2 linked regions of the Drosophila melanogaster genome follow. The protein of the gene in region 1 interacts with the protein of each later gene in a pairwise test. Each region holds a gene or a part of one and is shown on either strand. Other genes may lie near its edges.

Region 1 (4,672 bases):
CGCTATCAAATTTTATCTAGCCAGAAATTAAGACAAAACTGCAGGGCTTCAGCGGATTTGTCTACACAAAAGGATTCAGGCAGGAAATATCTTAGCAATGCTTATCGAAAACCGACTTACTTGTGCGTCAATCACCATCTGGATGCGTTCGATAGGTCCGTACTTGTTGAACAGCTCGCGTACCTTGTGCTGCGAGGTATTTGTGTTCAGTCCAAAGACTCCTATGCAGCGGCTTGCTTGTGGATGTTCCTGAAACGCCGAAGATCTTTAGGATTGAAAGGAGGCATTAATCGGCAGAATGGCTTACGCGAGACTTGTGCATTCGTTCGCGATCGCGTGATGAACGTCCGGAGCGATGACGCGGCTCCGGTGGCGGCGACTCCGAGGAGGAACGCGAACGGGAGCGTCGGCGAGAGGAGGACCGCTGGTGCCGGCGACTGCCACAGTAATCGTAGTCAGACCTTGATTCGATGTGGAATGGAATGAAATAAGATTATCTTGCGGTTCGTTCTTGAGGGTCTTGAAAAGTTTTGTATTTCGTGTGGATTTCGGGTGGTTCTTGCACGCCTTGGTAACTGACAGTTGGAAAATTTGTGTGACTTGACAAATGCTACGGTTGGGTTCGACCTCTTTCGGCCAAATTCTTTGGTAGTTGGACGTAGAATGAAAATGATTGCTTCGGTGGGTTCTTACATAGTGATGTTCGTTGGTTGGTTGGTTGGTTGGTTGGTTTCTTCCAATGAAATGAAATCGGCTTGAATGATTTTTGGTTTTAACTTTCTTGGCAAGAGCACCAGCTGAATCGGCTGAGGGGGCAAATCCAAATGAAAGGGCCCTATGACAGTTGAACCTTTTTTCCAAACTGCCAGTCAAAACTACTCGATGCTTCATGTCAAAAGAGGTATCGTTTAGGGTCGTCTCACATATGTGTGTACACATTTACCTGCGGTCCTTGTGTCCGGATGAAGTTGTCCCCGCTGACGATGATGACGCCGATCGCTTGTGTTTATATCTGGCGCTGCAATGGAGACGCCCGCTACTGAGTGGCTCCCGATCCATTGGCTTTTTGCTTACCTATCGAAACTTCGCTTATCGGAGCAATGGTGGCGAAAAAAGAAGATGAATGGGTGCACACTATTTGGATTGCCGTTCTTACCATTTTTGAGGGTTTGATTCCCTGCTATATTGCACACCCAATCAGTGTTTACCAATTAATTGATAGCCTTTGGCAGGTTTTATTTATTCTGTCTGCGTTTAGAAAGACGCACGCTTCAACAGGGGTGGCGATAGGTGAGGACGTGCGTTATCGATTGGCACTTTAACCCTTATGCGGCGTTGTCATCCATTTAGAAAAAAAAAACACAAGCGGAATTTATTTAATGTTATCGAATATATTTAACAAATTAAATCAGCATAATTATTATGTACTTTATTCAACGAAATATAGGAAAATAAACAAAATTTGTACTACAAGAAAACAATACTATTTGATTGGTTAGCAAACCATTATGTTATATGGATTTTGTAATAGTACAATTTATTATTCTTGCTTTTAGATAGTCATATACAAATTTAATCCTAAATCACAGGTTAGTTTAGCGATACCGCATAGACCACATATTCTTCACCATCACATAATTATATAGTCTCTGGTGTTCCAGATGATGCAGATCCGTGATGGTTTTCACCACTCGCTCGTCGTTGAAGTGGCTTTTAGGTGGGGCTTCCAGGAGATTTCCCGTCGTAAACCACTTTAGGTTCGAGAAGTGCTTTCTCACACTGTCCCGCAGAGCAACTCCACTGAAAACTGGTGTGCGGTACAGATCAAACATATTCTTCTTGCCATACTTCTCGTGGATCTCATCAACGGTCTTGTCCAGATCAGGCTGCTTGGCGTGATATATGACCCATAGTTTTCTTTGTGGGGCACGGAGATCTGTCAAGCTAAGAACTCCAAAGAATTCTACTATGTAGGGATTGAGTTTGGGTGTTTCAGCTTTTGGTTTTAGACAGAACAATTTTCTCAAATGGCTGTCGATTTCCTCATCCAGGTTGTAATCTCCTTCTGCGAATCGGTTGTTAATCATCGTTGATGTTCCAAATAAATAATTTGCCGTTTTAATTACCCGTGTTCTTATCAGTTACTGAATTCGTTGTCATATTTTAATAACGAGGTGACTCTTGCTTCTCTGACTTCTGAATGCGTGTTAACTTCCTACGCACTCTTATTAAATACCCAACAAATACGATTTCAACTGATTTGTATAAAGTTTGTTTCGTTTTGTTTACGATTTCCAATTTCACAACAAAAGAGCTTTTTGAAGCAACCCTGTGGCCTATCAAAAAACAGTGAGCTTTTAATGCGCTTGTTTCTTTTTAATACCTATTAATGCAGACAACTAGGGTGTTTATGTTTGTTGATTAGGATGATCGGATGACTGTGTCTTTAGACTCCAAGGTATATACTATTATGTACTACTATATTATAACCGCAAGCTACTTGTGTGTGTATATATTTTATTCGACATATTTTTATAAATCATTTAACTTGACCAATAGGTTGTAAAATGTATAATAATACCCCCTATCAACAAATACACATGCCGCTTTTAGTCAACAGATGTCGACTGTAAGTCGATGTTTTTAGTTAGTTTAATGTTTAGCAGGAGGTGGTTTTTGATCATTATACCGCTCAAACCAGGCGTGTTGTATCATTATATAGTCAAAGATTCTTTTTTGCTCCTTGTTATGCAAGTCCGAAACAGTTTTCACTAGTCTTTCATCATTATAATAACTATTTAGTGGAGCTTCCAATTGATTTCTGCTTGTGAACCATTTTAAGTTGGAGAAATATTCTCTGACGACTTTATGAAATCCCACTCCGCTGAATGTGGCGATCTGAAATATTTCTCTGACATTCCTATTGCCATATTTCTTTCGAATCCTTTCCAGAACCTTTAACCTTTCTAATCTAAGGCCATAATAAATGTACCACCGTTTTTGGGCAGCGACATTTGGTTCGTCAATACTGAATATTCCGAAATATTCTATCGTATCAGCATCCAACGACGTAGGTTCTGCAACTGACTTCATATAAAATAGACGTCTCCAGTACTTTTCCAATTTATCGTCCATGTTGCTAATATTCCCTGCTATTAAGAAATATAATCAGATGAAAACTTAAGGTGATTCATAGGCTTTGCCCATTGATAAGTGTGCGGCAATTTTGCCTTCCTACCTCAACAAGCGTTAAAAGAATACTGGTTAGCATTTATTGGCATTTATTATTTTAAAGCTTTATTCTAGAAAGTCTTATACATAAATGAAAATATTTTATGCATTTATGTTTCGATATGTACACGATTTATACAGATTACTCCTAGACATAAGGTAATCGAAGTATCTTCTCCTTTCGTTCTGATATAAATCTGCAATTGTGTTAACCACTTTCTCATCATTAAGGGAGCTACCTAGCGGGGCTTCCAAAATGTTTCCTTTTACGTGCCACTTAAGCCCTTTAAAGTGGTTCTTAACACGGGATCGCATTCCAGCCCCTGTATATACCGGTTTTCTGAACAGCTCGTACATATTCTTTTGGCCATATTTACGATGGATCTGATCCACAGTTTTGTCCACCTGATCTGTTGTCGCATAGTACATGTACCACAGTTTTCGGCGAGGCGCTCGAACATCGCTTAAACTCAGAACTCCAAAGTACTCCACTTCGGTTGGAATGTACTCATTTTTAGTATCGATTTCCTTTAGGCAAAACACACTTCGCAAATACCTTTCCAGTCGCTTTTCTAAATCGGGATATGCACCTGTAGATTATTATATACATATGTGCATCATTATAATATGCCTCTGTAAAGTTTTAACTAAACTTACTATTGGGAGCTTCAACAGCAGATGTTGTCATCTTGAAAAATTTGTTGTTAATAGAAACGGTTTTTCCCCTGCGCAACTTTTATACTTATCGCTCTGTAATATTTCACAAGAGCTTTAAGATTTCGCCAATGGCTCCAAAAGCTTCGAACGAAATGTAATTTTTCTTATTTCTTATTTTACACGATTTATGCGTTTCGGCTTATATAAAAAAATGTTAGAATGTTTATATTTATATTTTATTTGGATACTTAATAAATATGCAATGATAACTATAAGATATTTACTTGAAAGTCCCACACTGAATAAAATATTTAACCATTTATTTCAAAAAAAAAAAAAAAAAATGACGATGCTGCGTAAGGTTTAACAAATTCTTCATTTCAGAATTACAAAATTATGATTTTGCGTTCAACGAAATAATTAACTCTTAATTAACTGTGCTAAAGTAACTTAGAATACTTTCCAACTGGTTTATAGTCTTTGCCCTGCTATATAATAATCTCCGCAGAATCATCCAGCTCGCCTTTGATCACCGTCGTTTCCATGTGCCCTACGCTGCTGTTGGAGTCAGGCAGGATGCTTTCCTCTGACTGCACCGCGTGGTTAATGATGAAGACATTCGGATTTCCGGTGGTACTCAGACTCATTCCGGCGGGGGATACGAATTCGTCAGCAGGAGTCTCACCCAACACTGCACTTAAAGACCCTGTTGATTTCGCTCGTGCAACGGATGAGACTGTGCTCTTGGACAGAGTTCTTGCCGGCGCCGTCTGCTGTTTGCACA
Region 2 (5,849 bases), 7.1 Mb from region 1:
TACAGTGCTCGTGCACAGACTGTTTCCACGGATATATTATTGGTGTATATGAATTCCTTGCGATTCTCGTACAACTTCCTGGTGTGCGCGTAGTCGCTTCCCAGCTCCTTTTCAGTCGTGATGAACATGTGATAGACGCGCTTTCGACTCTCCGGCTTCTCGAGGCACAGGAAGCAAAGGTACTGTGTGCCGTCGGCTGGATTAAACTTCGGTGGAGCTGCAGGCGGAGCATTGGTCTTCAGTAGAATCCTGCTTAATATCGCTGGAAATGTGTGCGGATTCACTTTGGGTGCTTCCAAGACAGCCGGCGGCTTCTTTTTGCCCCTAATACGGGGTGTATTCCATTCTGACTTGACCCTTCCGGATATATTGAGCACAGGTGCCGCTGATGAATCACTTTTGTTTGCAGATACAGGTGCAGTACGTTCTTGAGCTTCAGATTCCATGGTTATAATTTTTAGAATTTTGTAATGTGTCCCTTTTAATGTTTATGCTAATACTGAGTTGTGTTGGTCAGAGGCCACTAGTTAAATAGATGGATTGTTTTGTAAAGATTCGAAATACTCAGCTATTTCACAACATAAAAGTTCACAAGCAAAGCACAATATTAGTGGTGAGCTTGATAATGAAAGTGTTCCAGAGAATGGCAACCATATGTTTATTGATTAGGGTGGACCTGCTGATGCAGGTCACAAATTTTTAAATCGAATAATACCATTTAAAGTAAAAGGGATATGAAAACAAATATCAATTTATTCATTCGTTGCGCTTAGGAACTTAGTATAGTTAAATAGCTTTGCCCTCTCTGCGTTTTCCAGCGCATACAACTTGTTCCAAAGGTTCAAATTGTCCTTTAGTCCAATCTTTTTCATCTCAAAAACATTTCGCTGCTTATTCCACTTAACATCTGTTAACTTATTCTGAACTCTGTGGTACAAGGATCGTGCACAAAGGGTGTACAGTGTTAGCTGGTCCACGACTACGATGTCCTTTCTTTTCTCGTAGGTTTTTCGCACTTTCAGATAGTCCTTTTCAATATCCATTTCATTTGTGACGAACATGTGATACACTCGCTTTCCCAACGATGGTTTCTCCATGCACAAGAAGCACAGATTCTGCTCAAAGTCGGTTAGATTCACTTTTATTACGGGTTCCGGCGGACAATTAGATCTCAATAGTATTCTACCCATTATAATAGGAAATGATTTTGGGCTTTTTACTGGTAGATCAGAAACCGATAGAATTTTATTTTCAAGACAGGAAACGCTTTGGCTTGACTCCACTTTTCCGGAAATATTAGGCACACGTGTTTGACAAGTTTTAGAAGTACTCGAACTTTTTTCTTGAACTTCCTTTTCTATTAGTATTAGTACACTCTATTAGTATTTTACAAAAAATTCGAACTTTCTTTCTCAAAATCTATGCGGTTACTGAAACTCAAATGAATTGATAGTTGGATTGTTGAAATATGACAAGCTTAGCATTAGTCACCTTTATTTTTTATATGTATCTGGTAAAAAATAACAAATATTTTGAAATTATGGTGAAATTGAGTCAGTTATTTTCTTCAAATGGCAGATAGTTATTCGACCTCACTTAAAGCTAATTACAATATGTTATATGAAACTTTAAATCTATAAGTTATATATTACATGTTTATTTTACTTGTTGGGATCATTTTGTCTCAGATAACATAGATATTGGTAGATATCATTGCACTCTTCCTGCAAGCATTCGGATACGATACCCTGTATGTGGCGCATTGAATTCTTTTTATATTGAATTACATTTTCGTTAACCCAGTGTTCTTTGGCAATCTTCTTTTTCACGCGGAAGACCATGTCTTTGGGCAGAAATGAGCATCCACTGATGATGACTCCAATTTTGTATCCGTCAGGAACGAACTCATAGTACTGCTTGCCATTTCTCGTTATCTCAGTGGCTGCAAATCTTCCGATGGACTTTTCATCCAGATCCTTGGGTTTTTCGCCATTGAGCAGTAATTTTCGCATGTGGTTCTCAAACTCGAACTCAAAATATGCCTTAGGGTTGCTTGTTTTCTGTACCTTGTAATATAGTTCCTCGGTTTCATTTCCAATACTTAAAACGTTTGTTGTTGACGTCATTTTTGAATCTAAAAGATACTTCGTAAGTGGAATATCCTAGCATGAAACTCTTTCAGCTCACCTGCTTTAGTATTAATAATGCCCGTTTGTGTTGTTTTATTTATTTACTAATGAAATCATTTCGGGTACAAGTTTCCTCAAAGCTCTAAATTAGTGATGGGTTGATTTTGTTTATAAACAATGGGAACAACGGTGAATGGCAAACAAACCACCTCCTCTTCACCTCCTCTTAGTGTTTTCATTTAGATAACACAAATATGAGTAAATATCTGATCTTTCTTGATCCAAAGCGTTGGAAACAGTTTTGATTATGAAGTTCCTCGAATCCTTCGGATACTTAGCAACGTTTTTGGATATCCAGTGCTCCTTGCCAATCACATTCTTTAATCGTCCCAGAATACCCTTGGAGTCAAAAGTGGGTCCGCTTATCATCCAGCCATTTATCTTATCAGCCGGACCGAACTCGTAGTAGTATCCGTTCTTCTTGATTTCTTTCGCCGCAAATCTTTCGACGGATCCTTCATCACAAACATTTGTCAAAGGCTTGCCGCCATTCAGTAAAATTTTCTGTAAGTGCTTCTCAAAATCAGACACAGAATACTCATTGCGTGTTTTTGTGCTTTCGAAATCTCCAGTGCTCTCAGTGCCAATAGTCAAAACATTCGAGTTGTTATTCATAATTGTTTATATTCCTACTACCGATTGGCGTTGGTGTTGTACACTAAAGTATGATTTCGTTATGGGAGCGCTTTTTATTTGCTTACTTATGAAATAAGCACCAATAAAAGCTCACGTCAATAGAGATGGGTTCTTTTTGTTTATAACAAACTGTGAATGGTTAGTAACATATGTTAGGGTGGTTCTTAAGAGTGTACTTAAAATCTAAATATATCTACTTCATTTAATTTCTTTTAAATAACGACTACATTAATTAATATAATGTCGCTTGACTCTGTTTCTATGTCCCTAAAAATTTGACTTCAAATTTTAGATGTTAAATAGATCACAAATTTTCACATTTACCTATTTGCTATTTTATATATTTACTTTACGAACTATTAGAGATGACATGATTTTGTTTATAAACGTTGTTTGTTTAAAAATCGGTGTGAATGGCAACGATTTCATTTTGGAGTGGACCTACCATTACAATACTAATTTAATCAATTAGCTGATTATACATTTCTAAATTTATACATTTTATAAACAATTTAAATAAAAAATAATTTAGATTTTTAACTGCATTGGCTATTTAAAATATTTGACATTAATAATAAATGCATTATCTTGTTATCTGACACATATGCAATATTAATGCTTTTAACACCCCATCAAAAGTATTAAAGTATCTGTCAGAACAAGTACATAACGTTCACTTATTTCGATCCAGAACATGAAACACAACAAAGCAACGCCTCGATCTTAATGAAAGATAAAACATCTGGCATCGGTGATTTTTTGGTCGGTGGGGCTTTAGTACCGGTATTAGACGCGTGCTAGATAGTGGCTGCAGGTGGTAACAGTTTTGATGGGTTATGGGTTGTGATCGAGGGGGTTTTTTCCTGGGCTCGCACAATTTCTCCATTTGTGTGCGCTGTAACTGCGCCGTGTCATATCTGATAATACACACGATTTGCCGTTATAACGCCTTCACACCGAACAAGGCTTCATACGATTATAGCTTTTCTTGAACTTTTGCTTTTGCTTGGCGAGCACACTTGAGATAGCTGCAAAAAAAGTCCCCGTTTACTGGCCCAAAACAGCGATCTGGCAAATAAATCATTTTATAATTTTCCGCAATAGATAATTGATTTGTCAACAGTGAATGCACCTTGAAAATAATAAAAAACGACCTTCTCGGCAATACACCCCTTTCATTTGTAGCCCCATAGCTGCGGTGCTTTCCCCGCACGAGTAAACATTATTGGGCCAACTGTTTAGATGCTAGCGTGTTTATTCAGCTGGCGATCTAGATACATATGTATGCTTGACTTGGCCGGGCTTTGCTCAGCTCCAGGCTTCCCAACCGACTGAGCTGGTCACTTGAACTGGCAACTCAGCTTGGAACGATCGCAGAAAATGACAAGATCGAGAATCGGAAGCTTTCGGGATATATATATAAGTAAACATATGTAAATTAAATCGAATGCCAATGAAGTCGATTGTGCAAATTACGGGTGAGATTTTTTTGTTTGTAAACAAACAGGCTCGTGAAGCATCTAGAGGAAATCATTGCCTCCGTTTCACAGATCTCACTTGGCAACTGCGTAAATATTTATCAATTTCTAGTGCTTAAAACTTTATCATCGGTTATCGTCGGTTATTACCCCTTTAGGTTGGGGTTGGTGGGTTTTTGACTCCGCGTTTACGACTCCCAAAAATGGAAATCAGCAACTATATCAGTGGACTTATTAATGATAAGAGAAGTTAACAAAAATCCCCATCAAAGTTGGGTCTGTACTGCATAAGTTGATAACAGTCTACACAGCGAAAAGTTACAATGCGTAAGTAAATAAATTCCACTTTGATGGGTCAAGACCCGAATAACACCCATTACTATTAGGGATAAGACTATAAGCACATCATTTTAGGAGAAACTATAAAACGATAAGATACAGTAATAATGTTTGAATTTACTGGTGCTGTTAACTAAATATATATTTAAACTTTATTACTATATGCTGAAGATTTGGCTAGCTCAAGTCGATGGACGAGCCCATTGCGAGGGCACCAACAGGTGGACATTACTCATGCCGAATAAATTCGGCGACCCAATCAAAGGTCTCCCCAGATGGCGAGATGCCTTTAAGTTCGCGACTCTCATGCATACGAGGTGATTTTCGTGCCGGCCCTCGGGCGAAATAAAAAAGCCCCGGCGCTAGACTCTCCGGCGGATATAAAAGCGGTTCCCGAGCGGCATTAGCGTTCAATAGCCAAAGTGCCAGCGAGCGAGCGAGCAGTAAGCACGGCGAAAGCGATACCAGAGATCGCCAAACTCAACGCACAATAAAAGTTCAGAAAACAGAGGGAGTTCCCCTGGCGGAAGCAGACGATCCCCCAGCGCTGAATTGAATACAAAAACAACACACACAATTGGATATCTTTGACCTTAGCCATCCGGATTGCTCATCATTCGGAGTCTTCCCCCAGCGACAGAGACGGAGATAGAGATAGGAAAAAGAGTTGGAGAATGAGCTAACCGACAGACTGGACGGTGATTTTTACGAGTGATTAGCAGCGGAAAGAAACGATACCGGCGGTAATTCACACCAAAATGGGCGTTCGTGTGATAGAAACCGATTCGGCGAGCGATTCGTATGACGATGACGAGTGCTCCACTTGCCAGAAAGAGCACGAGCAGGGTAAATCCCCCAATAAGAGCAAGAAAAGTTCCACGCCGCCGGAGACAACCATCTACGCCAGCAAGGATCTGGTGGGCAACTGCAAGGAGTACCGCATTGAGAACAACACGCGCGATCTCAGGATCATCGGCAATGGCAACCGCATACGGATTGTGAACAACTCCGGGCAACTGCAAGTAATCGGCAATAGCACCAGACTCAAGATCCAGAACAATAGCGGAGCCCTCAAGTACACGGGTAACGACGGAAGGATCTACCTGGGCAGCAGCTCCACGCAGCAGGTGGTCGACTACACGGGCTGCAATGGACTGCTCAAGGTGGTCAAGTCCCTGGATCTTAGCGGCGATGCCAAGAAAAGGCC

What was found. The genes of interacting proteins can lie anywhere in the genome.
Region 2: the proteins of CG12868 (region 1) and CG42362 interact in a two-hybrid assay, tested with the Drosophila melanogaster proteins (one large-scale study listed by BioGRID).

The regions. Positions count from the first base shown.
Region 1 is NT_033778.4:14,603,041-14,607,712, forward strand, and holds CG12868 (uncharacterized protein), read right to left. Parts: upstream 2,258-4,672; 5' UTR 2,161-2,257; coding exon 2,127-2,160; intron 2,066-2,126; coding exon 1,596-2,065; 3' UTR 1,509-1,595; downstream 1-1,508. Other genes in the region: tra2 (transformer 2), read right to left, coding at 121-249, 308-461, 944-1,059; CG33469 (uncharacterized protein), read right to left, coding at 2,653-3,135; CG33468 (uncharacterized protein), read right to left, coding at 3,334-3,821, 3,889-3,919; Su(var)2-HP2, read right to left, coding at 4,377-4,672.
Region 2 is NT_033778.4:21,661,469-21,667,317, reverse strand, and holds CG42362 (uncharacterized protein), read right to left. Parts: upstream 3,193-5,849; 5' UTR 2,805-3,192; coding exon 2,346-2,804; 3' UTR 2,188-2,345; intron 2,135-2,187; 3' UTR 2,127-2,134; coding exon of another isoform or gene 1,662-2,126; 3' UTR 1,362-1,661; downstream 1-1,361. Other genes in the region: CG42365 (uncharacterized protein), read right to left, coding at 1-446; CG42363 (uncharacterized protein), read right to left, coding at 1,662-2,126; pirk (poor Imd response upon knock-in), read left to right, coding at 5,401-5,849.